7 linked regions of the Callithrix jacchus genome follow. The protein of the gene in region 5 interacts with the protein of the main gene of each other region in a pairwise test. Links are inferred from orthologs where the notes say so. Each region holds a gene or a part of one and is shown on either strand. Other genes may lie near its edges.

Evidence for each region.
Region 1: the proteins of CDC5L (region 5) and XAB2 interact in a two-hybrid assay, tested with the Homo sapiens proteins (2 studies listed by BioGRID and IntAct, with this or other methods). The link is inferred for Callithrix jacchus from reciprocal best matches to the Homo sapiens genes CDC5L and XAB2.
Region 2: the proteins of CDC5L (region 5) and EXOC7 interact in a two-hybrid assay, tested with the Homo sapiens proteins (2 studies listed by BioGRID and IntAct). The link is inferred for Callithrix jacchus from reciprocal best matches to the Homo sapiens genes CDC5L and EXOC7.
Region 3: the proteins of CDC5L (region 5) and AKAP9 interact in a two-hybrid assay, tested with the Homo sapiens proteins (2 studies listed by BioGRID and IntAct). The link is inferred for Callithrix jacchus from reciprocal best matches to the Homo sapiens genes CDC5L and AKAP9.
Region 4: the proteins of CDC5L (region 5) and SH3BP5 interact in a two-hybrid assay, tested with the Homo sapiens proteins (2 studies listed by BioGRID and IntAct). The link is inferred for Callithrix jacchus from reciprocal best matches to the Homo sapiens genes CDC5L and SH3BP5.
Region 6: the proteins of CDC5L (region 5) and TRAF3IP1 interact in a two-hybrid assay, tested with the Homo sapiens proteins (2 studies listed by BioGRID and IntAct). The link is inferred for Callithrix jacchus from reciprocal best matches to the Homo sapiens genes CDC5L and TRAF3IP1.
Region 7: the proteins of CDC5L (region 5) and WWC1 interact in a two-hybrid assay, tested with the Homo sapiens proteins (2 studies listed by BioGRID and IntAct). The link is inferred for Callithrix jacchus from reciprocal best matches to the Homo sapiens genes CDC5L and WWC1.

What each region holds. Positions count from the first base shown.
Region 1 is NC_133523.1:7,201,175-7,204,674, reverse strand, and holds part of XAB2 (pre-mRNA-splicing factor SYF1), read left to right. Parts: intron 1-39; coding exon 40-184; intron 185-571; coding exon 572-723; intron 724-1,126; coding exon 1,127-1,246; intron 1,247-1,329; coding exon 1,330-1,461; intron 1,462-1,558; coding exon 1,559-1,690; intron 1,691-1,774; coding exon 1,775-1,888; intron 1,889-3,244; coding exon 3,245-3,407; intron 3,408-3,500. UniProt on the Homo sapiens protein: Involved in pre-mRNA splicing as component of the spliceosome. Involved in transcription-coupled repair (TCR), transcription and pre-mRNA splicing.
Region 2 is NC_133506.1:131,991,421-131,994,920, forward strand, and holds part of EXOC7 (exocyst complex component 7), read right to left. Parts: intron 3,307-3,500; coding exon 3,244-3,306; intron 2,948-3,243; coding exon 2,881-2,947; intron 2,140-2,880; coding exon 2,101-2,139; intron 1,383-2,100; coding exon 1,317-1,382; intron 1,035-1,316; coding exon 914-1,034; intron 640-913; coding exon 544-639; intron 1-543. UniProt on the Homo sapiens protein: Component of the exocyst complex involved in the docking of exocytic vesicles with fusion sites on the plasma membrane.
Region 3 is NC_133512.1:57,620,490-57,623,989, reverse strand, and holds part of AKAP9 (A-kinase anchor protein 9), read left to right. Parts: coding exon 1-1,991; intron 1,992-3,500. UniProt on the Homo sapiens protein: Scaffolding protein that assembles several protein kinases and phosphatases on the centrosome and Golgi apparatus. Required to maintain the integrity of the Golgi apparatus. Required for microtubule nucleation at the cis-side of the Golgi apparatus.
Region 4 is NC_133518.1:54,070,089-54,072,433, reverse strand, and holds the end of SH3BP5 (SH3 domain-binding protein 5), read left to right. Parts: intron 1-382; coding exon 383-600; 3' UTR 601-1,845; downstream 1,846-2,345. UniProt on the Homo sapiens protein: Functions as a guanine nucleotide exchange factor (GEF) with specificity for RAB11A and RAB25. Inhibits the auto- and transphosphorylation activity of BTK. Plays a negative regulatory role in BTK-related cytoplasmic signaling in B-cells.
Region 5 is NC_133505.1:52,864,076-52,867,575, reverse strand, and holds part of CDC5L (cell division cycle 5-like protein), read right to left. Parts: intron 2,233-3,500; coding exon 2,088-2,232; intron 418-2,087; coding exon 229-417; intron 1-228.
Region 6 is NC_133507.1:159,660,508-159,664,007, forward strand, and holds part of TRAF3IP1 (TRAF3-interacting protein 1), read left to right. Parts: intron 1-322; exon of another isoform or gene 323-366; coding exon 367-459; exon of another isoform or gene 460-3,138; coding exon 3,139-3,240; exon of another isoform or gene 3,241-3,500.
Region 7 is NC_133503.1:31,160,590-31,164,569, reverse strand, and holds the start of WWC1 (protein KIBRA), read right to left. Parts: upstream 2,801-3,980; 5' UTR 2,360-2,800; coding exon 2,241-2,359; intron 1-2,240. UniProt on the Homo sapiens protein: Regulator of the Hippo signaling pathway, also known as the Salvador-Warts-Hippo (SWH) pathway.

The sequences.
Region 1 (3,500 bases), on a different chromosome or scaffold from region 5:
TCAGTTTCCTCTTAACTCCCCCTCCCTGGGTCGCTACAGGCTCGGGACGTGTACGAGGAGGCCATCCGGACAGTGATGACCGTGCGGGACTTCACACAGGTGTTTGACAGCTACGCCCAGTTCGAGGAGAGCATGATCGCTGCAAAGATGGAGACCGCCTCAGAGCTGGGGCGTGAGGAGGAGGGTCAGCCTCTGGGGGACCCGGCTGGTGGGGAGAGAGCTGAATGGACGTTGGCAGGTGGGGGCAGGGCATGTCTTAGGTGGAGCAGCCCCGGGAAGGAAGCTGGGTGGAGGCAGGGGGTGTGGGGGTCTTGGAGGAGCCAGGAATGGGGTCACGTCTCAGGCCTGGGTCAGAGCCTGGCAGGGCAAGAGGGCTAGGGGAACAGTGGAGTAGGATGGGGTATCTGCTGGGGTAGGGGCGGGGCTCAGGTAGATCCCCAAGCTGAGTGTGTAGGGCCCAGAGAACTTGGCTAGGGTCTGGAGTGGAGTGAGGGTTGGGAGCAGAGGTGGTGGCATGCGGGGATCTGCGTCCTGGGCCTCTGCCTCTCATGAACATGTCCGTGACTCCCAGACGATGTGGACCTGGAGCTGCGCCTAGCCCGCTTTGAGCAGCTCATCAGCCGGCGGCCCCTGCTCCTCAACAGCGTCCTGCTGCGCCAGAACCCACACCACGTGCACGAGTGGCATAAGCGTGTTGCCCTGCACCAGGGCCGCCCCCGGGAGGTGTGTGAAGCCTGTCCTAGTCCTGCCCCTGAGGGCCATGGGGGCCTGGCCTCTCGGGGCCACAGTTTTCTGCAGGACTGGGGAGCCACCCACCTTCACCCATAATGTCACCTCCTAGGGGCCTACCTGTGCTTAGTAGGTCTTATTCTACTTCTGATCTTGGGGTTCTTGTCTTGCCCTAGCCTTGCTCCCAGAGCCACAGTGCTCCTGGCCCTGGCCCCGACCCTTAGGGGGCCACAGCTCCCTCTTGGCCCCACCCCTCAGAGCTACTGTTCCTTCCTGGCCTCTTCCCCCAGGGGCCACGGCACCCTCCAGGCCCTGCCCCTCAGAGCCACAGCTCTGCCCCCCCAGTCACCTGCAGAGTCCTGAGTCCCATATGACTTCCTCCTCCCTCCTGTCCCAGATCATCAACACCTACACAGAGGCTGTGCAGACGGTGGACCCCTTCAAGGCCACAGGCAAGCCCCACACACTGTGGGTGGCATTTGCCAAGTTTTATGAGGACAACGGGCAGCTGGACGATGTGAGCACCCTGCTGCATGTGCCTGTGTGTACGTGTGTGTGTGCATGCATGTGTCTCAGCCTGGACTCTGTCCTCCCTGGCAGGCCCGTGTCATCCTGGAGAAGGCCACCAAGGTGAACTTCAAGCAGGTGGATGACCTGGCAAGCGTATGGTGTCAGTGCGGGGAGCTGGAGCTCCGGCACGAGAACTATGACGAGGCCCTGCGGCTGCTGCGGGTGAGAATGGGCCTGGGCTTTGGGGTGGGGGCTGCAGGTTGTACGGCCAGGGCCGGGAACAGCCCCTGAGCTCCCCAGCCACCCTCTCCCTCTGCAGAAGGCCACGGCGCTGCCTGCCCGCCGGGCTGAGTACTTTGACGGCTCAGAGCCCGTGCAGAACCGTGTGTACAAGTCACTGAAGGTGTGGTCCATGCTCGCTGACCTGGAGGAGAGCCTCGGCACCTTCCAGGTGAGCTGCCTGTGGCCAGGGAGGGCCGGGGCCCAGACTTGGCTCCAGAGCCAGCTCCGACCTGTCCCCTCCCCATCCCTGCAGTCCACCAAGGCCGTATACGACCGCATCCTGGACCTGCGCATCGCAACACCCCAGATCGTCATCAACTATGCCATGTTCCTGGAAGAGCACAAATACTTCGAGGAGAGCTTCAAGGTGAGGGGCCAGGGCGGACCCAGAGGCCCCGGATGGCCGTGTCTCTTCCCAGGGGCCTTAGCAGCTTACAAGTTTGCTGGGGCTTTTGAGACACAGTAGAGACTAGGTGGCTTGAACAGCAGAGACCCAGCTTCTATGAGTCCTGGCAGCTGGAAGTTTGGGATCAAGTCCTGGGCAGGGCTGGTTCCTCCGGAGACCTCTCTCTCCAGCTTACACATAGCTGCTTTTTCCCTGTGGCTTTGTGTGGCTCTTTCTTTGTGTATGTCACTGTGGAATTCCTTTTTTTCTTTTTTTTTTGAGACGGTTGGAATGCAGTGGCACCATATCTGCTCACTGCAACCTCTGCCTCCTGGGTTCAAGCAGTTCTCCTGCCTTGGCCTCCTGAATGGGATTACAGGCTCGCGGCACCGCACCTGGCTAATTTTTGTGTTTTTAGTAGAGACGGGGTTTTATGCTGTTGGTCAGGCTAGTCTTGAACTTCTGACCTCGTGATCCACCTGTCTTGGCCTCCCAAAGTGTTGGGATTACAGGTGTGAGCCACCTCGCCCAGCAAAATTTTTTCTTTTTAAAATTCTTAAATTTAAAATTTAAAATTTTTTCTTCTTGAAAGGATATCAGTCATAACCAATTAGGCAGCCCCTAATGCCCTCAGTTTAAGTTAATGATCTCGTCTTCAAAGGAGTCTACCTCCTGAGATACTATGGGTTAAGATTTCAGCATACCAATGTTTTGTGGGGGTACAGGGTCCTGCTTCCATGTACACCCATGACTCGTGGGGAGGGTGTTGGTGCCAATGTGTGTGGTCTCTGCCTGCCTCACAGTTTAGGAGATGGCCTGTAGGGGGGCCATGGGGTGTCTTGCGTGTCTCCTTGTCAAGGTCCTGTCCCAAGGCGCATGTCTCCATATTGAGGTCCTGTCCCGAGGCCAGAGTGGTCATGTTTGTGTGTTTCTATGGATCGTGTGGGCTTTACGCAGATACACAAATGGGGAGGTCGTACATGCGCCTACATGCTGCTGCCTGCCCATCTGCCTGGGGGGGTGTGGCCTTCTCCCTGGGGACTGGCAGCCAGTGTCAGCGGAGCTGGGGAGCCACCCACCGTCACCCATAATGTCACCTCCTATGGGACCAGACTTTGCTTCACAGGTCTCATGGCACCCCTGTTCTTTTGATTCTCAGAGGGAGATTGTGCAGAGCAAAGACCCCCATAAATGTCATTAGGCACAGGGAGGCATGGACAGGGAAGGGCCTGAGCGAGACCCTGGCAGGCTCCCTACAGGTGTGACCCAAGGACATCCCAGCTTCCCAGTGGTCTCTACCTACAGACTCTTAACGTGTGACTCCCCCTCTGGCAACAGGCGTATGAGCGCGGCATCTCGCTGTTCAAGTGGCCCAATGTGTCGGACATCTGGAGCACCTACCTGACCAAATTCATCGCCCGCTATGGGGGCCGCAAGCTGGAGCGGGCACGGGACCTGTTTGAACAGGCTCTGGATGGCTGCCCACCAAAATATGCCAAGAGTGAGGCGGGCAGAGGGAGTGCGGTGGGCAGGCAGGCCAGGTTTCTGACTAGCCCCGGCCGACCACGCTCCCCTCTCCCCGCTGCCCCACACA
Region 2 (3,500 bases), on a different chromosome or scaffold from region 5:
CACAGAGCCAGGAAGAAAGAGGACCAGGGAAGCACAGAGATCCCCACAGAGCCAGGAAGAGGACCAGAGAAGCGCAGAGATCCCCACAGAGCCAGGAAGAAAGAGGACCAGGGAAGCACAGAGATCCCCACAGAGCCAGGAAGAAAGAGGACCAGGGAAGCACAGAGATCCCCACAGAGCAACGCCCAGCCAAGCTCAAGTGCTCTCCTAACCCTGAGCTTCTCCTAGGCTAAACATGACCCACATCTGTGACAGCCGGCTCTTCAATTACTCTTGGCCTTGACACTTGGTAGGCTCCCCTCTAAAGTGGCTGGCCACAGTGGGCCTCTAGGAGCAGGTAGTTGCAGACGAGGGGGCTTCTCTCTCCACCCCATGAGTTTGATTAAAAACCAAGTGGAAGATTAGGGTCCAGAGGGCAGTTCCCCATGACTGATCCCTCTGTCCTGAGGTGCTGAGAAGGAAGACTGGTTGGTGGCACAGGGTTGGGGTGAGGACAGAGACGGCTGGGGTTCCATGCAGGGCAGGGCGAGGCCAGCCTCTCACCTGCGCTGGTAGGTCTGGACCTGCTGCTCGATGTGCTCCCGGTAGGAACGCTCGGCAGTCTTCTGCGTCACTGCTACCAGCTGGATCAGCTCGGACCTGGGTGGGGGCGGGGGACAGAGAAGAGAAGGACAGGATTGGCACCTAGGTGCAAAGGCTGTAGCAATGCCTGGGGGGGCCTCCCATTGCACCCCAAACTCCATGAACTCTACAGCAGCAGCACTCCCACCTTCTGGGTCCTGGGATGGAGGAGACTGAAGTACCCCCTCCCCTCCCGACCACAAGAGAGGGAGCCCAGGAGGGCAGGGGCTGGCACAGCTGCACAGCTGAGGGGAAGGTGAGAGCCACAGACTCGCTCTTGCAGGCCACTTACTTCTCCAGGGACTTGAGGATGTAATTGTAGTTGTTGTGCAAGAAGATGGCGCTCAGAGCGGGGTCCTCATAGACCTTGGACTTGCTCAGCAGGTTCAACTGCAGGTTGCCCAGCACTTTACCTGCATAGGGAAAAGTGGGGCCATCCCCACCATGGTGGTTTGACCCAAATGACCCCATCCCAGGACCCGCTAACCCACCCTTATCCATTGCTCCTCATCCTGCTTCAGAAGGCCTTAGCCCAACTCCCCTCGGCCTCTGAACTAGAGGTCAGGTTGTGGTCCCAAAGGTCAGATGGCACTTAGCAGAGGGCTCTGGGAGTAGCCAGAGAGCACAGATAGAAGGAAGGGAAAGGCAGGGCATGCCGGCAGCAGGGCTGCTGGTCCGCCCGGGAGAACACTCACAGATATAGGTACTTAGCAGCCGCTTGCTGAACTCGGAGCTGTAGCTGGTGGCAGAAGAACTGGTCTCTGTGAGAGAAGGCCTGTTATTGCAGTGGCAGCAGCCAAGACCCTCAATGGCTCTTCCCCCAGCCCATGCAGCAGTCTGAGGGGGCACAGAGACAGGCCCTGGGCTTCATTGGGCAGAGCCGGCTACCTGCTGAGTCACAGGGAAGCCCCTGCTGCAGGAAGCACCAGCCCTGGACATTTTGGAACCCAGAGCTGCCCTCTATGATGGGGTGGTGTGGCCAAGGAGCTGGTCCAGTTCAGCAGGAGGGTGGGCAGGACAAGAGTGAGATGCCAGCGCCCTGCCCCCTCCCTGCCCCCAGCCCACCCCAGGTAGTTTCTACAAGGCTGCCTCTTCCCTTTTGCCAACAGCAGAGGCTTAGTATGAGCTCCCCACAGTCTCTCCACCTCTCCCTACATTTCCAACATCCCCCTCTACCAGGCCCTACTGAACAGAGGAAGCTCTGGCCTCCACAGTGTGGAAGGCTGAGGGGGATGGCAAGGCAGGGAGGCCGGACGAGCCTGTGGGGTGTATTCAGGGCGCTGACCCCAGCAGGTGCTGTGGATACGCTCAGAGACAGAGTGGCCCTGAAGGGAGGAGAGAGAACTTAGAGTATCCTGGGAAGACTCATGTTCCCTCTGACCCGAGCTCCCCAATAGGTCCTGAGAGTCAGTCCCCAGGGAACCTCACCCACCAGGCTTCAGAGGGACAAGAGGGGGGCTGCAGAACCATACTGCTTACCTCGGGGGTCTAAAGGAATATTGTATGTGTCCCCAAGAACTACGGAGTGAAAGGCAGTGCACAGAGGGGACGCAGGGAGAGACAAAGGAGGGAAAAAGATGCAAAGTGCAAAAAACAGGTTAGAAACGGCACGTCAACCCATTAAGCAGACCTCTCCCCACAACAGCCAGAACACAGACAGCAAGACACAGCAGGCGGGACCTTCTGAGGACCAGGGAGCGCCCTGCAAAGTAGAGAGCTGGAGATCCGAAGACTGGTGGCTGCCCACGGGCTCCCTGCTCCCAAAATGGGATGGGAGGGCCTGGGGACCTCAGTGCTTGGAATGACTAAGAAAGCTGCTCTTGCTCACAGGCCGACCCCCTGAGCTCCAGTCTCAGGGCAGGGGCCTGCAGGAAGACACCCAGCTGGCCCTGAGATGCTTGATACCCATGGAAGGCCAGCTGAGCGAGCCTGATTAGAGCAGGCAGACATGAGAGAAGGATCTGGGAGGCGGAGAGGGGCAGAAAGGACATCTTCCAACCAGCCAGCACTGCTCCCAGAGTGCGGACACTGCTTCCAGGGCGAGGAAGGTCAAAGGGGCTGAGGGAGGGGCCAGAGGTCTAGTGTCTAGTCTTGAAAGGTGCAGGCAAACCTTGCTCTCCTGATGCTCAGCCCCAGGGCCCCTGCGCAGGCCACATATCCACGGACTGGAGAGCCCCTCACTGTGCCCTGCCCTCTAACCTCATGTCTCCAGGCAAGGAGGGTTGTGGGGCAGGGGGCCCAGCTGGGAGGTGCCAGTACCTTGGGAGGCCAGCATGGCACCTGCTGTCTCCTGGAAGTCCAAAAGCTGCTGCAGGAAGAGGATGGCCTGGGTGGGGAGAAGACGGTGCAGAAGGGCAAGTGGCAGGCCTGGCCGACGGCTCCCACACAGACCCCTCTGAGAGCCCAGGACCAGCCCGGGCTGGGATTCACCCAGGAAAGAGCGAGGCTGGAAACCGTGTTTTATTTTGTGGGCTCTGGCCTGCCAGGAAAGGCCTCGTCTGTTACAGACACTAAGCACGCCACCACCCATCCTGCCACCCATCCTGCCACCGGGGACTACGAAGGTGCAACTCTGGAAGGGACCTGGGCCCGCCTTCCTCCCGCCTCCCCAGTGGTGCCTACGTTGCTGGTGAGCTCGTGCACGGTGCCGTCCTTGGGCATGTTATATTCCTTGTCTGGGTCATTCTGCGGAGAAACAGCCTCTGGTTCCCTGAGCAGCCCCTGGCCCACCCCACACCCCAGTGTGCCTGCTCATGGTGCCACCTCCTGGCAGACAGGTGCTAGGACACCTCTCAGGCACAAAAGCCGAGCCAGGCTGGACCAAGAGGGAGAGGGGCTTCCTGCCTCAGAGGGCTTGGAGGCCCTGGGAAGGAAAGGAA
Region 3 (3,500 bases), on a different chromosome or scaffold from region 5:
AGCAGATAGTACAAATGAAACAAGAATTAATAAGACAACACATGTCACAAATGGAGGAACTTAAAGCACTGCATAAGGGAGAAATGGAGAATGCGTTACAGTCACATCCAAATATTACAGTTAATGAAGATCAGATAAAGTTAATGAATATGGCAATTAATGAACTGAATATAAAATTGCAAGATACTAACTCTCAAAAGGAAAAACTCAAGGAAGAACTAGGAAGAATTTTAGAAGAAAAGTGTGCTCTACAGAGACAGCTTGAAGACCTTTTTGAAGAATTGAGCTTTTCAAGGGAGCAAATTCAGAGAGCTAGACAGACAGTAGCTGAACAAGAAAGTAAACTGAATGAAGCACACAAGTCCCTTAGTACAGTGGAAGATTTGAAAGCTGAGATTGTTTCTGCATCTGAATCCAGAAAGGAACTAGAATTAAAACATGAAGCAGAAGTTACAAATTATAAGATAAAACTTGAAATGTTAGAAAAAGAAAAGAATGCTGTCTTAGATAGAATGGCTGAATCACAAGAGGCCGAATTAGAGAGGCTGCGAACACAGCTTCTATTTAGTCATGAAGAAGAACTTTCCAAACTGAAGGAAGATTTAGAAATTGAACATCGAATAAATATTGAAAAACTTAAAGATAACTTAAGCATTCACTATAAACAGCAGATAGATGGTTTACAGAATGAAATGAGTCAAAAGATAGAAACCATGCAGTTTGAAAAAGACAACTTGATAACTAAGCAGAATCAGTTAATTTTGGAAATTTCGAAGCTGAAAGATTTACAGCAGTCTCTTGTAAATTCAAAGTCAGAAGAGATGACTCTTCAAATCAATGAACTTCAAAAAGAAATTGAAATACTCAGGCAAGAAGAAAAGGAAAAGGGTACACTTGAACAAGAAGTTCAAGAATTACAACTAAAAACAGAATTATTAGAAAAACAGATGAAGGAAAAAGAGAATGATCTTCAAGAAAAATTCATACAACTTGAAGCAGAGAATAGCATTCTTAAAGATGAAAAGAAAGCCCTTGAAGACATGTTGAAAATACATACTCCTATTAACCAAGAAGAAAGATTGATTTTCATAGACTCCATTAAGTCCAAATCCAAAGACTCTGTCTGGCAAAAAGAAATAGAAATTCTTACAGAGGAAAATGAGGACCTCAAACAGCAATGTATTCATCTAAATGAAGAGATTGAAAAACAAAGGAACACTTTTTCATTTGCTGAAAAGAACTTTGAAGTTAACTATCAAGAGTTACAAGAGGAGTATGCTTGCCTTCTCAAAGTAAAAGATGATTTAGAAGACAGTAAAAATAAACAGGAATTAGAGTATAAAAGTAAGCTTAAGGCACTTAATGAAGAGCTTCATTTGCAAAGAATAAATCCAGTTCCAGTAAAAATGAAAAGTTCTGTCTTTGATGAAGACAAAACTTTTCTAGCAGAAACATTGGAAATCGGTGAGGTTGTTGAGAAGGATACAACAGAACTCATGGAAAAGCTTGAGGTAACCAAGAGAGAGAAATTAGAGCTGTCACAGAGACTGTCTGATCTTTCTGAACAATTGAAACAGAAACATGGTGAGATTAGTTTTCTAAATGAAGAAGTTAAATCTTTAAAGCAAGAGAAAGAGCAAGTTTTATTGAAATGTAGGGAGCTAGAAATCATTATTAACCACAACAGGGCAGAAAATATACAGTCATGTGATACTCAAGTAAGCTCTTTATCAGATGGAGTTGTGACTGTGACAAGCAGGGATGCTGAAGGATCAATTTCTAAAGTAAATAGAAGTTTTGGTGAAGAATCAAAAATAATGGTGGAAGATAAAGTTTCTTTTGGAAATATGACTGCTGGAAAACAAAGTAAGCAAGAACAGTTGATTTTCGATCACTTGCCTTCAGTAACAAAGGAATCATCACTTAGAGCAACTGAACCAAGTGAAAATGATAAACTTCAGAAAGAACTCAATGTACTTAAATCAGAACAGGTATGTTTGCTTCTTTATATATGGTAAAGCACAGTCAAAATGTACATTTTACACTTAGAAATGTAGTTCTTAAAACATAAAATATAAATTCATATCCTTACAAGAGAATGAAAATGAACCCTCTAATGTAATTGTAACTTGAGCCTATCATATTTATTTATCATTTAAGTATTTTTTTAAACATTATTGCCTTTCTTGCAGTTAATCTATCTCATATATTCTGCTTAGGAAATAAAACACACTAATGGTTTCAGATTTTATTTTGGAAAGACAAGGGTTTGTATAACTTTTTGGAGAGTCTCAGCTTTAGAAAAGTGATTAGTTTCATTTTGTAATATTTTGAAATAATCTTAAAGATTGGTTTCAGAGTTTTTATTTCATAGTGATGTTTTCAAGTCTCCACAACTGCAAATGAACTCCTAAGATTTTTAGTAGTCTATATAGTTATTAGGTGGTTATGAAATTATATTTTCTTGGAAGAAAAAAAACCCTTGATTCAAGTCCTATTATTTTTTCAGTCTTTGTTATACCTGAAGGGGAAAAAACAGTATTAACTGTAAATATAGTTAAAGAATTATATGTATATAACAACAGAGCACTCCTGATAATTTATATTTACCAGATACTGATATTAAAATAACAGGAAAATTCTGCTGAGTATCTACAGTGTAATGATACTAACTAAAATTTTATGCCTTTCTTCATTTGTCTAACAAATATTTATTGACTTTTGACAAGTACGAATATAGTAGCCAACAAGAGAGAGAGTTCTGGTCTCAAAGAGCATGTATTTTAGTGAGGGAGGCAGGTGATAATGAAACAAGTAGGAGAGTTAGAAATAGTGATTAATTCTGTGAAGAAATAAAACAGGATAATGTGATAGAGAATGATGGAGTGGTGGTGATAGCCATTAAGTATGGTGGTCAGGAAAGGTCTCTTGGAGGAATTGATGTTTGAACTGAGATCTGAATGACACTGAAATTAGAGCAATTGTGAAGACATTTATAAGTTTGAAGAACAGAATAAAGGCCTGTATAATTGAGTTTGAGAGAACGGGAGAGTGGAAGAAGAGTTTGAAGGAGGAAGAGATCTTGGAGAATCTTATAGACTTTGTAAGAAGTTTAAATTTTATTTTAAGTATAATAGAAAGCCATTGGAAAGTTTTTTCTTTTTATTCCTAAATATATCATATTTATGTCCTTATGTCAAATGTTGAGATATTTTATGTTTATACTTATGATTTATATCAAATGTAGAGGTATTTTACATATTTAGTAGCCTAGAGTCAAGAAATTAAAATTGCTTAACACATTTTTTTTTTTAAATCAAGTCTCCCTCTGTCACCCAGGCTGGAGTGCAGTGGCATGATCTTAGCTCACTGCAGCCTCCAGCTCCCAGGATCAAGTGATTCCCCTGCCTTACCCTCCTTAGTAGATTACAGGCATGCTCACCTGGTTAATTTTTGTATTTTTAGTAAAGACAAGGTTTCACCATGTTGGCCAGGTTGGT
Region 4 (2,345 bases), on a different chromosome or scaffold from region 5:
GTCTCTGGTTGTGCTGTCAGTGTTGATCACTGAGGTTATTTCCAAGTGCTGTTCTGGGGAGGCTCCTGGCTCCACTCAGCTTCTATAAAGTAGGGCTTAGGTCCTGTGTCTCACATCAGAACAGTCTCCTTGGCAAGCACATAGTAGAAAGGTTTGTTTCTCAGCTATAAAGTGAATATGGCAAATTTCATCTCTAAAGTCAAGGAATATATAGAACATCACAAGGAATAAAAGCAGTAAGTGATTACATACTCAGAACCTCCCGGATAGGCACAGAAGGCAACACTGGGAATTCCACAGGGCTGAGTTAGCTAGTTGGTTTGAGCCCAAAGTGACTTAAAATTGTCAAGACTCACTTTTGATAATCTTTGTATTTCTATAGGAGACAGGGCAGAAGGGGCAGAAAATAAAACAAGTGACAAAGCCAACAACAACCAGGGCCTCAGCAATAGCAGTGGCGGTGGTGGCAGCAGTAAGAGCCACAGCAGCACCTCCCCTGAGGGCCAGGCCTTGGAGAACCGGATGAAGCAGCTCTCCCTACAGCGCTCAAAAGGAAGAGATGGGATTATTGCTGACATAAAAATGGTGCAGATTGGCTGATTCATCCTGGGCCCTGCCCATGTGCGTATCAACATTTATACATGGAACTGGAGAACATTGTGCCAATAATCATTTAATATATGCCAAATCTTACGCGTCTACTCTAAACTGCACTAATGAAGTTTCAGTGACCTTGAGGGCTGAAGATGGTTCTGGGTAAGAGTCCTGAGCTGGTTTGTTTTTCAGAGCAGAGTTGTCGCAGGCAGACTGTGACCAGGTTCACAGCCTTTGTGGAACATTCCTTGTAATGGCACTGTGGAAGCAATAACTAGTTCCTATGAAAGAACCAGAGCTGGGAAGATGGCTGGGAAGCTAAGCCAAAGTGGGGCCAACAGCTTGCTTCTCTTTCTCTTCTCACCCTCAATTTTGAATGGGAAAATGGAGATTTCACTCCACTTTTACCCCATGATAGCTAAATGATAAGGAAAACCCACATACAAAGCAAAAACTCAAGTATTGAGAGCACATATTTTTGACCCGGTGGAGGCTTAAAAAAATCCAAGAACACAACTCATTTTCATCACCTCTGGTGTTCAGAGGGGGCTTTTTAAAAAGCGTGTATGCTAAGATACCCATTAAAACCATTTCTAGAAAGGCTACCAAGAGCTGCACTTTTTGGGATGGGGAAGGTGAATGCCAGTGGGGATGGGGGGGGCATGAGGGTAGGAGGGACTTATCATAGAAGGGAATCTGTGGCTGTGGGGGAGAAGGTTCTACAGCATAAACCTTATTCTGCCGGCTAAGGGGATTTATTCTAAGAGAAGTGCATGTGAAGAATGGTTGCCACTGTTATTAGATTGACAAGGTGTTAATTTATCTGTAGGTTGTAACTTTAAAAATAAACGAAATTATTTAAGGGTTATGCTGCACTAGTATTCCTTAGAGGAAACTTCTTTAAAGCTAGGAAAGGGAGTGGGCATGTGTTGGCAAAGGCTGTTAAATAGAAGCAACAGAGTCTGTTATGTTAATAGTAGTAAGTGTTAAGACTGCTTTTCTTTAATGTTTTCATGGTAATGCATATTTAGAGCACTGTATTTTTGTCTCGTTTTGTTAAGAAAATTTAGCATTTCTAAAAAAACCCTCTTTCAAATTGTTAATTCTGTCACAGCCTGTATATTTTAGTCATTTGTAAATCTCTTCATACAACAGTGACTCCTCCTTTTTTGACTGATACAGTATCCTAATTACAAGGTTATTTTGTACTTGTCTTAATACATTGAGTGTAATAAAAACCGCTTGAGAAAAGTTTCCTCTGTGACTTCAAATAAGAACTCCCAGTATTGTCTAAATCTTCTATGCCACCCTCTTGCCATAAGGAAGAACATGGAGTGCTGTGGTCACCAGTAATCATTTTCAATTAAGGTTTTGAAGAACAGTAGTAATTTAAGCCTTGATTACCAAGGTTTGAGTTCTACTTCTGCTGCTGCTAAAGCTATGGGCAATGAGGAGACACAGTGACAGATAAATAAAGATGATGTGGTGATGCTGGAGGAATGGTCCTCAGCCTCAGCTGCACACTGCAGTCTCCTAGGAAGCTTAAGTGTTGCTGTCAGGTCTCTTCCCCAGAGTTAATTAACTGGGGGTACACTTGTGCATCAGACTTTTAAAAGCTCCCCAAGGGGATTTCAAATGTGCATTCAGAGTTGAGAATCAGGTGGATCCTTTGTCTTGTGGAAATGTTATAATGGTGGACTCTTAATCTGCATTTCATTATTAAAACATGCTGTGGAGAAAAAGGTCCTTCA
Region 5 (3,500 bases):
AGAAGAGCTGGCTTCTAGAAGTTACAATAAATGTGAAATTAAAACTACCTTATTGCTGAATCTATTTAGCTTCTCTACTACAGAACGTTGCAAGATCTATGCATTCAGGACTCAGTTTCAAACCATTTACACAGGAAGAAACATAACCAAACCACTTAGTTCTGCTGCATGGTACTTCCAAGGACAATAAACAAAGTAAAAGGCTCATTCTACTACGTGACACCTTACCTGAAGAATTCTGTCCTGGGAAGCTGGTGTTCGTGGTGTTCTAAGAGCAATGCTGTTGTTGGTGACATTGTACTCAGACAAAAGAGTGCTGGAAGCAGAGTTTGTTATGCCAGATTCCTCGGCAGTCTGACGTGCAATTTCACTTGCTTGGCCTACTTTTACAACTTCCTGGAGTTCTGCATCTGAAATCTAAATGGACACAATTATCACAGTAAGCAACATTTTAACTGAGGCCAGACATAGTGGCTCACACTAATAATCCCAACACTTTGGGAGGCCAAGAAGGGCAAACTGTTTGAGCCCAGGAGTTCGAGATCAGACTGGCCAACAAAGTGAAACTCTGTCTCTATTTAAAAAACAAAACAAAACAAAAAAACCAACATTTTAACTGAAAACTGACACAGCTTTAAATTTCCATATTCCAGAAAAATGAGTCGCTGAAGCTGTGTGATTAGTATCAGGGGTTCACTGTAGTACTCATCCTTTTTGTGGCTTTGAAAGTTTCCATAATATAGCTTCAGAAAGCCTTCCCTAACAAATGTTGGAGGAAAATTCATATATGATATAGAATCAAGCTACATAGGCTGTATCTCCATGCTGAAATTCTTTCAAATCAACGTATCAATGTACCAAGAATGTAAAATAGCAGTATTTATACAAAATTATTCATCAATATGTGGGAGGAGAAAGACTGAAAACCAATTAAAATATCACACAGAAAGAGTCCAGTGAACCACCAGATCCGTAAGAAAATCTAAAGGTATCATGTCAGTAATTTCACCAAAATAAATATCCTAAGGTGTACTAAGAAAAAAATTAAAGACAAAATTTCAATTTAATAATTATCCCCACTAGGAATGGCAGGATATGACAAAATTAGTTTATGCCCATGAATCCTATGTTGATGCAGCCAATGTGCTCATTTGGGAAAACAGTTCTTCTGGTCTCCCATGTCCTTTCCTCTACACCATTAAATCTGTCCAATTCTACCAAGCTGTACTACTCAAAAAAATAAAAGGTTACTCTAAGGTCCCATGTCTCTGACCAACTACAGTAAGTCAAAAGAATACAGCGTGTAATAAGCTGAATGAAGGAATGTTTGTATCTCTTTTCTCCACAACTTCCAGATTCACAACTGTTGTCTCAAAAAAGAGAAGCGTAACACAACAAAACATTCCCTGGGAAAAGGCAGCTTAAAGTCCACAAAGCCAAATCAGACCTTTACCCTGGTCAGTTACAAAAAGTAGCCCTAACCTGCTGACAAAATGTTAAAAGCTAACAATTACTTACCAAACCATCATATGAACAGTTTAGGACCTGATACAACAATGTATACAGAGAAGCTGAAACTATCTTATCATATTATATCACAATTACTTGTGAGCTTTTTTGTCTGTCTGTTTTTGAGATGGAGTCTCACTCCATCGCCCAGGCTGGACTGCAGCAGAACGATCTTGGCTCACTGCAACCTCCACCTCCAGGGTTCCAGCAATTCTCTTGCCTCAGCCTTCTGAGCAGCTGGAATTACAGATGTATGCCACCACACCTGGCTAATTTTTTTATTTCCAGTAGAAACAGAGTTTCACCATGTTGACCAGGCTGGTCTTCAACTCCTGACCTCAGGTGATCCGCCCATCTCAGCCTCCCAAAGTGCTGCGAAAACAGGCATGAGCCACCACAGCAGGTGTGAGGACAGCGGCCAGCCCACAGCCACTTGTTTTCGTGTGTGTCTCACCCACTAAACTGAATTTCTTAAGAGCATCCAGCACAAACGTGGTACACAGGCCTTCAAACATTTGCTGAATAAATGATATGGCATGTAAGTTCACACAGTGAAAAATTTGCTTTTATCAGATTACCTGAGGGGCAGGAAGTACTAGTTTGCTTCTCTTTTTAGTAAATTCAGAAACACCACTAGTTTGAAGAATAGCTGATGGTAAATCAGATTCTTTTTTTCTCTTCAAATGCTGTTTGTCTTTTTTTCTATCTCTTCCTTCTTTTTCACTGTCATGGATCAAGGCAGAGAAGAGATTTTAAAATTACATATAGGCAAAAACATTAAAATCCATACAAATACTCATAACCTTTGAACAATCTCTTTTCTAAGACAATAACTAAAAAGGCTGTGCACGGTGGCTCATGCCTGTTATCCCAGCACTTTGGGAGGCTGAGGTAGGTGGATCACCTGAGGTCTGGGGTTCAAGGCCAGCCTGGCCAACATGGTGAAACCCTGTCTCTACTAAAAATACAAAAATTAGCCAGGCATGGTGGCATGCACCCATAATCCCAGCTACTCAGGAGACTTGAGGCAAGAGAATCATTAGAACCCAGGAGGTAGAGGTTGCAATGAGCCAAGATCGTGCCACTGCACTCCAGCCTGGGCAACAGAGAAAGACTCCATCTCAAGAAAAAGAAAAAAAAGAGACAAAAACTAAAAGAAGACAAAAACAATATATATTAAGTAGTTTCCTACATAATTACTTACTATATTCAGGATGAAAGCAAACTCAGAATAACAATAAAATATTATTGAAGTACTAAATATTAATATATACAAGTATAAAGATAATGACAAGCAAAACATTCCACATAATGTCAAAAGAAAAACATTCCTGCATTATGAATATATTCAATAAGAATGTGTGTGCACATAGGAAAAAGTATGACAAGCATGTAAAAGGGAAAATAAGTATATGAAAAAGATAAAATTAAAACATAATTTTTAAATTTCTCTTTAAAACTGTTATTAAATTGTCATGATTCTTAAAATTCACAATTTTTTTAAAAAGGCTATTTTAATACTGACAAGTGACATCTAAACATGTAGGAAGTCTAAAGCCAGGCTCAAAGCAGTCTTTCAAAGCTCCAGGAATACCTCCTCCCCTTCTGCATGTCTTTCTTGCCTCCTGCACTTAGTACTCCTTCCAAAAATTGTTTTCCTGCCAAATCTCTTTATTTGTAGAGCCTACCTAAAGCAAAGTCCTAATCTGAGGAATACAAGGGAGTACATCTAAAAAAGTCCTATTTTACAATGACTAATAGCTGTTGCTTTGTAACAATTCATGTCAACAGAGCAGAAAACTTTAAAAAATCCTTGACAACCATAAAATACTCTCCCTACAACATTTATGTATGAGATTTAAAGAAACTAAAAATCTCAAGAAATAGGAAAAATCTGCTATCCTCTAAGACATAAAGATTTTGTAAATGTATATCTATCCCCATCAAGTGAAAAGATCAGTAAGTTTTTTCTTTTAATTTCATCTTAGTAA
Region 6 (3,500 bases), on a different chromosome or scaffold from region 5:
AGGGTGGAGGAGGGAGGAAGGAAGGGGAGCGGGGTGAGGGGGAGGGGGAGGGGAGGAGGGAGGAGGGAAAGGACGAAGAGGAAAAAAGATGGAGGAGGAGGAGGAAAGATGGAGGATCATCCTCACAAAGGATACAGAAGGCCAACAAGTTGGAGGAAAACTTGGAGAGGAAGAAAGTGTTAGGGAAGGAGAGAGGGGCTTCTTGTCAAGCTCTAATGTGAGGGAGTCGTGTGGAGGCTGAGAATTGACCATTTAGTTGACAAGACAGTTTGCTGGTGACCTTCGTATATCCCCTATAAATCCCAACTAAACCAAACACAAAATCTTTTACAATATTTTAATCTGTTGTTAACTATTTTATGTCAGGAAGAAAGCAGGATAATATTTCAGCTAAAATTTTAGACTCCGTAGGGTCTGGAATAAATGAGCCAAATCGGGAAACAACAACTTCCGAAATCGGTAAGAAAAGCAGATGCTTTAGTTTCATTCCTTACCCCTCTAATGCGAATGGCTGTATCTCAGTGTAGTTACGCATTTAAAAAGATGATTCTAAACACTTGTATGTTCATCAGACTTTTTCATGATGTACTGAAGGTTGGAAACGCCTTGGGGTTTTACTTGCTTAAATATGATAAGTTACGTAACTCTATTAACTCCGCTTTAAGTTAATGATAAGCTTTTTGTACATAGCTTATGTTTACATTTCAGTCAGAATGCTTTCTTAATTTTGCTGTTGGGATTTCACAGTGGTGCGGGTGACGGCATAGACAAACGGGTTTTCTGTCTTCATCTTGCCCTGCTGTATTCTACTCAGAACATGCTCGCAGTAGAGATGTTTAAAGTGCTTCTCAGGCACCAGGAAAGCCAGCCTGTCACAGCCAGTCACATTTCAATCCTCGTCCTGCTGGCTCAGAGGGGATGGGCCTTGGTTCAGTATCAGTAACTGCGGTCATCTGTGACTACAGAGGGAATTCTTCAGAAATATTCAAATTCTTCAGCTGCATTTAAGGAAAAAATAGTGTAAAATTAGACTTTAGGGGAAGATAAGATTTTTGCTGGGCCCAACTTGCCTTGTATCTGTCTGACTTTGATGAATTCTGAAGTGTAGCTGGAATGCCGGTGGGTGCACCTTTCTTTCTCTGCATGTGTTCCCCCTCAGAGCTGGCACTTCCAGGATTGGGCATGATTGGTACAGCAGCTGCAGTGTGAAAGGTGATCTGTGGTTATTTTATTCCAAGTAGGGCCACTGTATGGGAGTTACCTGGGTCTTCGGTAGCATGGGATGGCGCAATAAGAGGTGACTGAGTTGGAGCAGGGGTTTTCACTGGAGAGAGCCCTTGCCACGTGGGAATGCATGTTACAGCTCAGCAGCATCTTGTGATGTATGTTTTCTTTTTCTGGTAGCTTTCCTCATCCCCAGGCACCTGTGGGGAAACGCCCAGCCGCTCTGCAGTTCTGTACACAGGACAGGGCAGCAGGCAGCGGCAAAAGCCTGAGGGGTAGACTCCTGGTAGCCCCCATCTGGGTAGCTGGGACCCCATCTCTAAGACCGCTGGGGCAACTCCCCACCATCTGCTTTACCTGTCTCATGACCTTAGCCAGCCATGTGAGTGGGTTCTCTGAGCCACAGTTTCCTCATCATAAATGGGCATAAAGAGACCTGCCTGAGGGTGAAGGAGGTGATGTCCATAAGGCAGCCACTCACCCCGGATCAGGGCGAGACAGCGCTCATCCTGAGATGGGCAGTGGATTTAGAACAAATTGAAAGCATTCTCCAGACAGGTAGTGAGCACTACGTAGGTAATAGCCACAAGTGTGGAGATAGCACAAGCCAGGCAGTGAGAAGCACAGACTCTGACCTTGGTTTCTGCGTTCAGCTTTTTGCAGAGATAGGGATGGAGCCTGATGCCACCTGCTGGGGAACAGTCTCTCTGTGGCGGTGGCCGTGCAGGGGGTTGGGAACAGTGGCCAGGAGCAGAGCCTGCGCTCTGGAGAGACTCCTGGTCCCTCCTCTCTCTCCTCCCCCAGCCCTGGCCCTGCTCCCCTGGGGTCCTGCCACGGCACGGGCCTGGGCTCTCTGTCCTCAAAGTTGCAGGTGTTACCTTGCACTGGCCATGGCTAACATTTGGAATTGAGAGTTTGCTGGCAGTTGTTACTGTTCCTTGATTTCTTCATTGAGGGTGAACTCCAGGTGCACTGCCATTGGGTCTGGTTAGCGAGCTGGTCCTCACAGTGCCTTTCCTTCTTCGTGCTTCAAAGAAAAGTCCACGTTGCCAAAGAAAGCTGGCCTGTGTTGCAGTGACCGAGCCAGCCCTAGCGAGCCCTGTGCCCATAGTCTGCGTCATCATCAGAGAATTCCTGGGGTTTATGTTATCATTTTGATTTTTTGGGTGGATTGAAGAGTTTGGCTGGGCGCCGGTGGCTCATGCCTGTAATGCCAACACTTTGGGAGGCAAAGGCAAGTGGATCACAAGGTCAGGAGTTCAAGACCAGCCTGGCCAACATGGTGAAACCGTCTCTACTAAAAATATAAAAAAATTAGCTAGGCATAGTGGCAGGCGCCTGTGGTCCCAGCTATTCGGGAGGCTGAGGCAGAGAATTACTTGAACCTGGGAGGAGGTTGTAGTGAGCCGAGATCGTGCCACTGCACTCCAGCCTGGGCGACAGAGCGAGACTCCATCTCAAAAATAAAATAAAATAAAAATGGCTATAAATTGAAAAAAAAAAAAAAAACAAAGAATCACAGACTAAGCACAATCTGTTGTCTGGAACTACCTGGTAACCTACTTGCAGCCTCTCAGCTGCTGGGTCTGGTTCTAGTGGGGAGGCAAGTGGAGACTGGCAGTGTCAGGTAGCTCCAGAAATGGGGGCGGGGACAGCCTGCTCCTCATGGCCCAAGTAGACCCAGGACACACTCACAGTCTGGGATTTTCTTTCTCCTCCACCTAATTGTGGAGCCACCCATGGGGAAGGAACATTCTAGGTGCATGTTTTCTAAAAACTGCCTTTGGTCAATCCTTTGTCAACTTGCAGTGTGGGAAGATGTAGATAAGTGAGCATGCTCTGTGTTAACAAAACTGCTGATCACCGGCCCTTTGGTGTAGTCTTAATGACTAATTTCAAACTGTTTTATGTCAGGAACAAAAGAAGCTAATATTAACTCAACTAGTATTTCAGATGATAACTCAGCTAGTCTGCGGTGTGAAAATATTGAGCCCGATTCTGCAGTGAAGCAGAAAGGTAAGAATGGTCCCGTTTTACCCTTTTCTGGCGAGAGCAGAGTCAGCCCTCCAGAGCCTTCCCAAAGGGCCACAGCCCAGAGCTCAAGGCTCTCCCTTGGGTCTGAACGTGGCGAGTGATTCACTTCTGGCTTTTTGCATAAACCAGAATCTAACACAGTGGTTTCTTGATAACGGGAGACCCACTCATGTGCTCCCCCATGCTTTGTGAGTGAGAGGAGGTGGCATGGTTCATCACTTGGGAGGTGTCCTGAATGATCC
Region 7 (3,980 bases), on a different chromosome or scaffold from region 5:
GCTGCTCACCTAAGTGCCACTATGTTTCTGCTGCCTCTCCACGGCTTGCCAATGTGCCTAAAAACAACGGCTGGGCAGGCCAGGTGCTGGGGCCTTAGGCTGGCCATAGTACCTAGCTGATATATACTAACACTGGGGTTTTTCCCCCTGTCATTTTTGTTTCCCTTTTATGACAATAGATATAACTAGTTTCCCATTTGTGAAAATGGTACAAAAAGTTTTAAAGTGAGTTGATCTAAAGTGAAGTAGTGAGTAAGCAATAGCACAGGTGGATATAGCAAAAAAAAAATCACGGCGGCGGCCCATATAGCACTCAAATCTGGGGGGCTGTGCTCTAGCCAATCAGTTTCTCCTGCTTGCCCTTTTGCAAGGGTAAAGAATTACTGCTGTTTGAGAGAAGCTTCCTATTGCTGTATTAGAAGTGCCGAGATGCATGATTATCAGTGTTGGCGGGGACCTCCTTTCCCTCCAACAGGACGTCCACCTGCTAACAGCACACAGGCCTCACTCAGTAAGCTGCAGGGACCTAAACTGGGGCAGGTCCCATACACTTGAACTCACGCCTGTTCTGAGAAAAGAACAAGAGAAAACGCGCTGCCAAGTTCACCAACACAGTAACAAAGCCGCCAACTGACCTGAGTAGGGGTGGGAAGCAGTGTGTCAGGATGACAAGTTTGAAGGTTAGAACTTCAGAACTGGGGAAGAACTGGTATGCAGAAAGGCAGAAAAATCAAAATACCTGAGCAAATCACACCTCTGGGCTTCACATTTTCTCTTATGTTTCAAATGGGAGTTGGGCTCTATGTCCCTTCCAACTTTTAGGCGTCCCAATATTCCCTTCCAAGCAAACCATTCATCTGACAAACAGGGAAACTGAGGCTCAGTGGCTGAAGCAGCTTGCCTAAGAGATGCTCTCTAGCATTAAATATTTCTCTTCCAGATTACATTCATAAAACACTCAGCATGGTGCTAAGTGTAGAGGAGGCATCCAGGAAGTGCTGAATGAATGAATGAACAAAGTGCTCCCAGAAACTACTGGGAATCTCAACTCTCATTTTCTTTCTGCTTCTTTTCTTTTGTAAACCCACATCTTGCTACACTTCTGGGACACCCCCATCCCAACCACACAAGATGAAGAGTCCAAGAAATTCACCTTAGTTGCTTTACAGGGACCTGACCCCCAAGGTCACAGACAAGGTTTAAACTCCACATTCCCCAAGACACTCTGACCACAGACCCATGTCAAAACACCGTGGTCCGGGGACTCCAAGACGTACATGGATAGGGTCTATGTATTTGTATGTGCTGCGTGTGAGCAAATAAATGCCAGCCGAAACCAGGAGAAAGTCCGGAGAGGTGAGAGGTACATTGAGCCATCTCACGCTCCACCTGCCTCTGCACATCATCTCAAACTACAGCGGCCTGGTACCCACCAAGGTCAGTTCCCGCTGGTGCAGGGCCGAGGAGCCTCGCCCTCCCCACCTCCCCGCACCAGCAAAGAAAGGGAGGAGAAAGAGGCAAGGGACAGGGCTTTCCCGGAGGCCTCTCACCTCCATCTCCATCCTAACAGCTTCCAAGTTGCTGCTAGATTCCTAGAGAACCAGTCTCCCTCATCTGCCCTCCCCCGGCTTCTTCACTTCCTCCCCACCCTCGGGCTCCAAGCCCCCCTGGCTGCTCCTGTGCTGTTCTCGGGAGCTTCGGAGGCACCTGTCAAAAAGCACACCCCAGGCTGCCTTCCTCGGCGCCGAGTGTCCGCTCTCCGGTAGTCTCCCAAGGAATGCTCGGTCCCGACCACTCATTACAAACCGGACACTTCCCCATCCCCATCCGCCCACCCCCTCGCTGGGGGGGAGCCTCCCCGGGAAGACCTGGTTTCTCCCGGCTAGGTCGCTCCCCCCACACCCGCCCCCGTCCGACCTATCTTCCTAAAGGGGGCGGGGGGGGGGACCTAGAGCTTAAGGTCAAAACTCCCGGCAGGTGCCTGCTGGGGCCTAAGTCCTCCATCTGGGGATGGTGGTGGGGCAGCCGGGGCCAGCTCCCCGGCAGGCGCCTCCTCTCCGTAGCCCACTGAGGCAGGAGCAGCACTCCAGAAGGTTGCGAGGAGCGGGGGTGACGAACTGAGGAGAGCGCAGAGGCACGCAGAGCTCCCCCGCCCCGCCCAGTCCCGGCCGGCGGCTCCAGGGGCAGGTGGGGGCCCGAGCGGGGGTGTGAGGGCACGGAGGAGGGTCCCGGAGTCCTACCTGTCCCGCGGGTCGATCCAGCTGGTGGTGCGGTTCGTGTGGTCTATGTAGTAGATCTTGCCGTCGAAGTCGCGCGCCTCCTCCCAGCCCTCCGGCAGGGGCAGCTCCGGCCGGGGCATCTTCCCGAGCGCGGCCGGCGCTCCCCCATACAGCTCCCGGCCGCCGCGGGGGCTCAGCGGCTCCAGCCGGCCGCTCTTAGCCCGGGCGGCCGCCGAGGCACCATGATGGGGGGGTGGCGCCCTCGGACAGGGGGCCCTAGTGGGGGCCGGCCGGTGTGGCGCCGCTGTCCATGCGGCCCTGCTGCCCCGACCCGGCGCCGCCCGCTCCGCTCGCCGCCGGCCTCTCACGCTGCCATGTGCGCCCGCAGCGGCGCGGTTTGGGCCCGGGTGCGCGCCCAGCCGGCCGGGCAGAGCGAGCCGAGCGCCGCCGCCGCCGCCGCCGCCGTCTGCCCTCCTCCGCCGCGCGGCGCACTGCGCCCTCCACGCCGCCGCCGCCGCCGCCGCCGCCTCCCTCTCCTCCCTGCAGCCGGGTGCCGTCCCTCCTCTCCGCTTCGCCGCTCTGAGCTCGCTGGGTTTGTGACTTCTGCCTCCGCCAGGTGCGGCTTGGGCGGTGCAGGTAACCGCGCTGCCCCGGAAACGGGAGGCGGAGCGCCAGGCGCCTGGGTTCCCGGGTCCCCTCCCCGCGCGCAGCGCCACGAGGGCGGGTCCTAGGGCCCGAGACGCGCCCCCTCGTGGGACAGTCCCAGCAGCCGGCCACCCCTACGCTGCCCCTGCCAGAAGAAGGAGAGACCGTCTCTCACCTGGGTCCCAGACCCTAGGGGGTTGGGCCAAAACCCGCTCTTCCTCTACCTACTATGCTCCTGTCTCTGTCCACCCGGAGTAGCCAGGCTCTTGGCACAGGTGGCCCCAAATCTTGAAACTCCCTGCTTTTCTGTTGTGTGGAATCAGGAGTCAGGCAAGAAGTGGTTAAATGGAAACATTCTTGCGAATTGGGAAACATAAGTTTTCCAGGATCTCTGGTCCCTTCCCCCAACACCCGCACCATCTGTCTCCTCCTTATTCAACTCTCCCCACGTCGTTTCGCCCACCCTCCACCCCTCCCCACCATTTGGAAATGTAGCTGGCTCCCCTTAGGGCCCCTAAAATTAGGAGCGCTGTGAATCCGTTTTCCTGGGAGGACTTCCAGAAGGTGCCAGGGAAAACACTTTGTAAAAGTAACAGTAATACCATCGTTATTGTTAGCTAAATTGAGGACTTACCTGTGACAGGCTGTGGCTAGCAGCTTCACAGGGGTGCTTTCCTGGGATACTTTGAGGTAGGTGTGTTATGGATCTGAGAGAAGTGGGTTATGAAAAAGAGGAAAGCAAGCAAAGCAAAATTCCATCTTGAAAATGTTAAAGCGAATAAAACAATCAGACACAGCGTTTCTTTAGAAATTAAAAATGTGGGCCAGGCGCGGTGGCTCACGCCTGTAATTCCAGCACTTTGGGAGGCCGAGGCGGGTGGATCACGAGGTCAAGAGATCGAGACCATCCTGGTCAACATGGTGAAACCCCGTCTCTACTAAAAATACAAAAAATTAGCTGGGCATGGTGGTGCGTGCATGTAATCCCATCCACTCAGGAGGCTGAGGCAGGAGAATTGCCTGAACCCAGGAGGCGGAGGTTGTGGTGAGCCGAGATCACATCATTGCACTCCAGCCTGGGTAACAAGAGCGAAACTCCGTCTCAAAAAAAAAAGA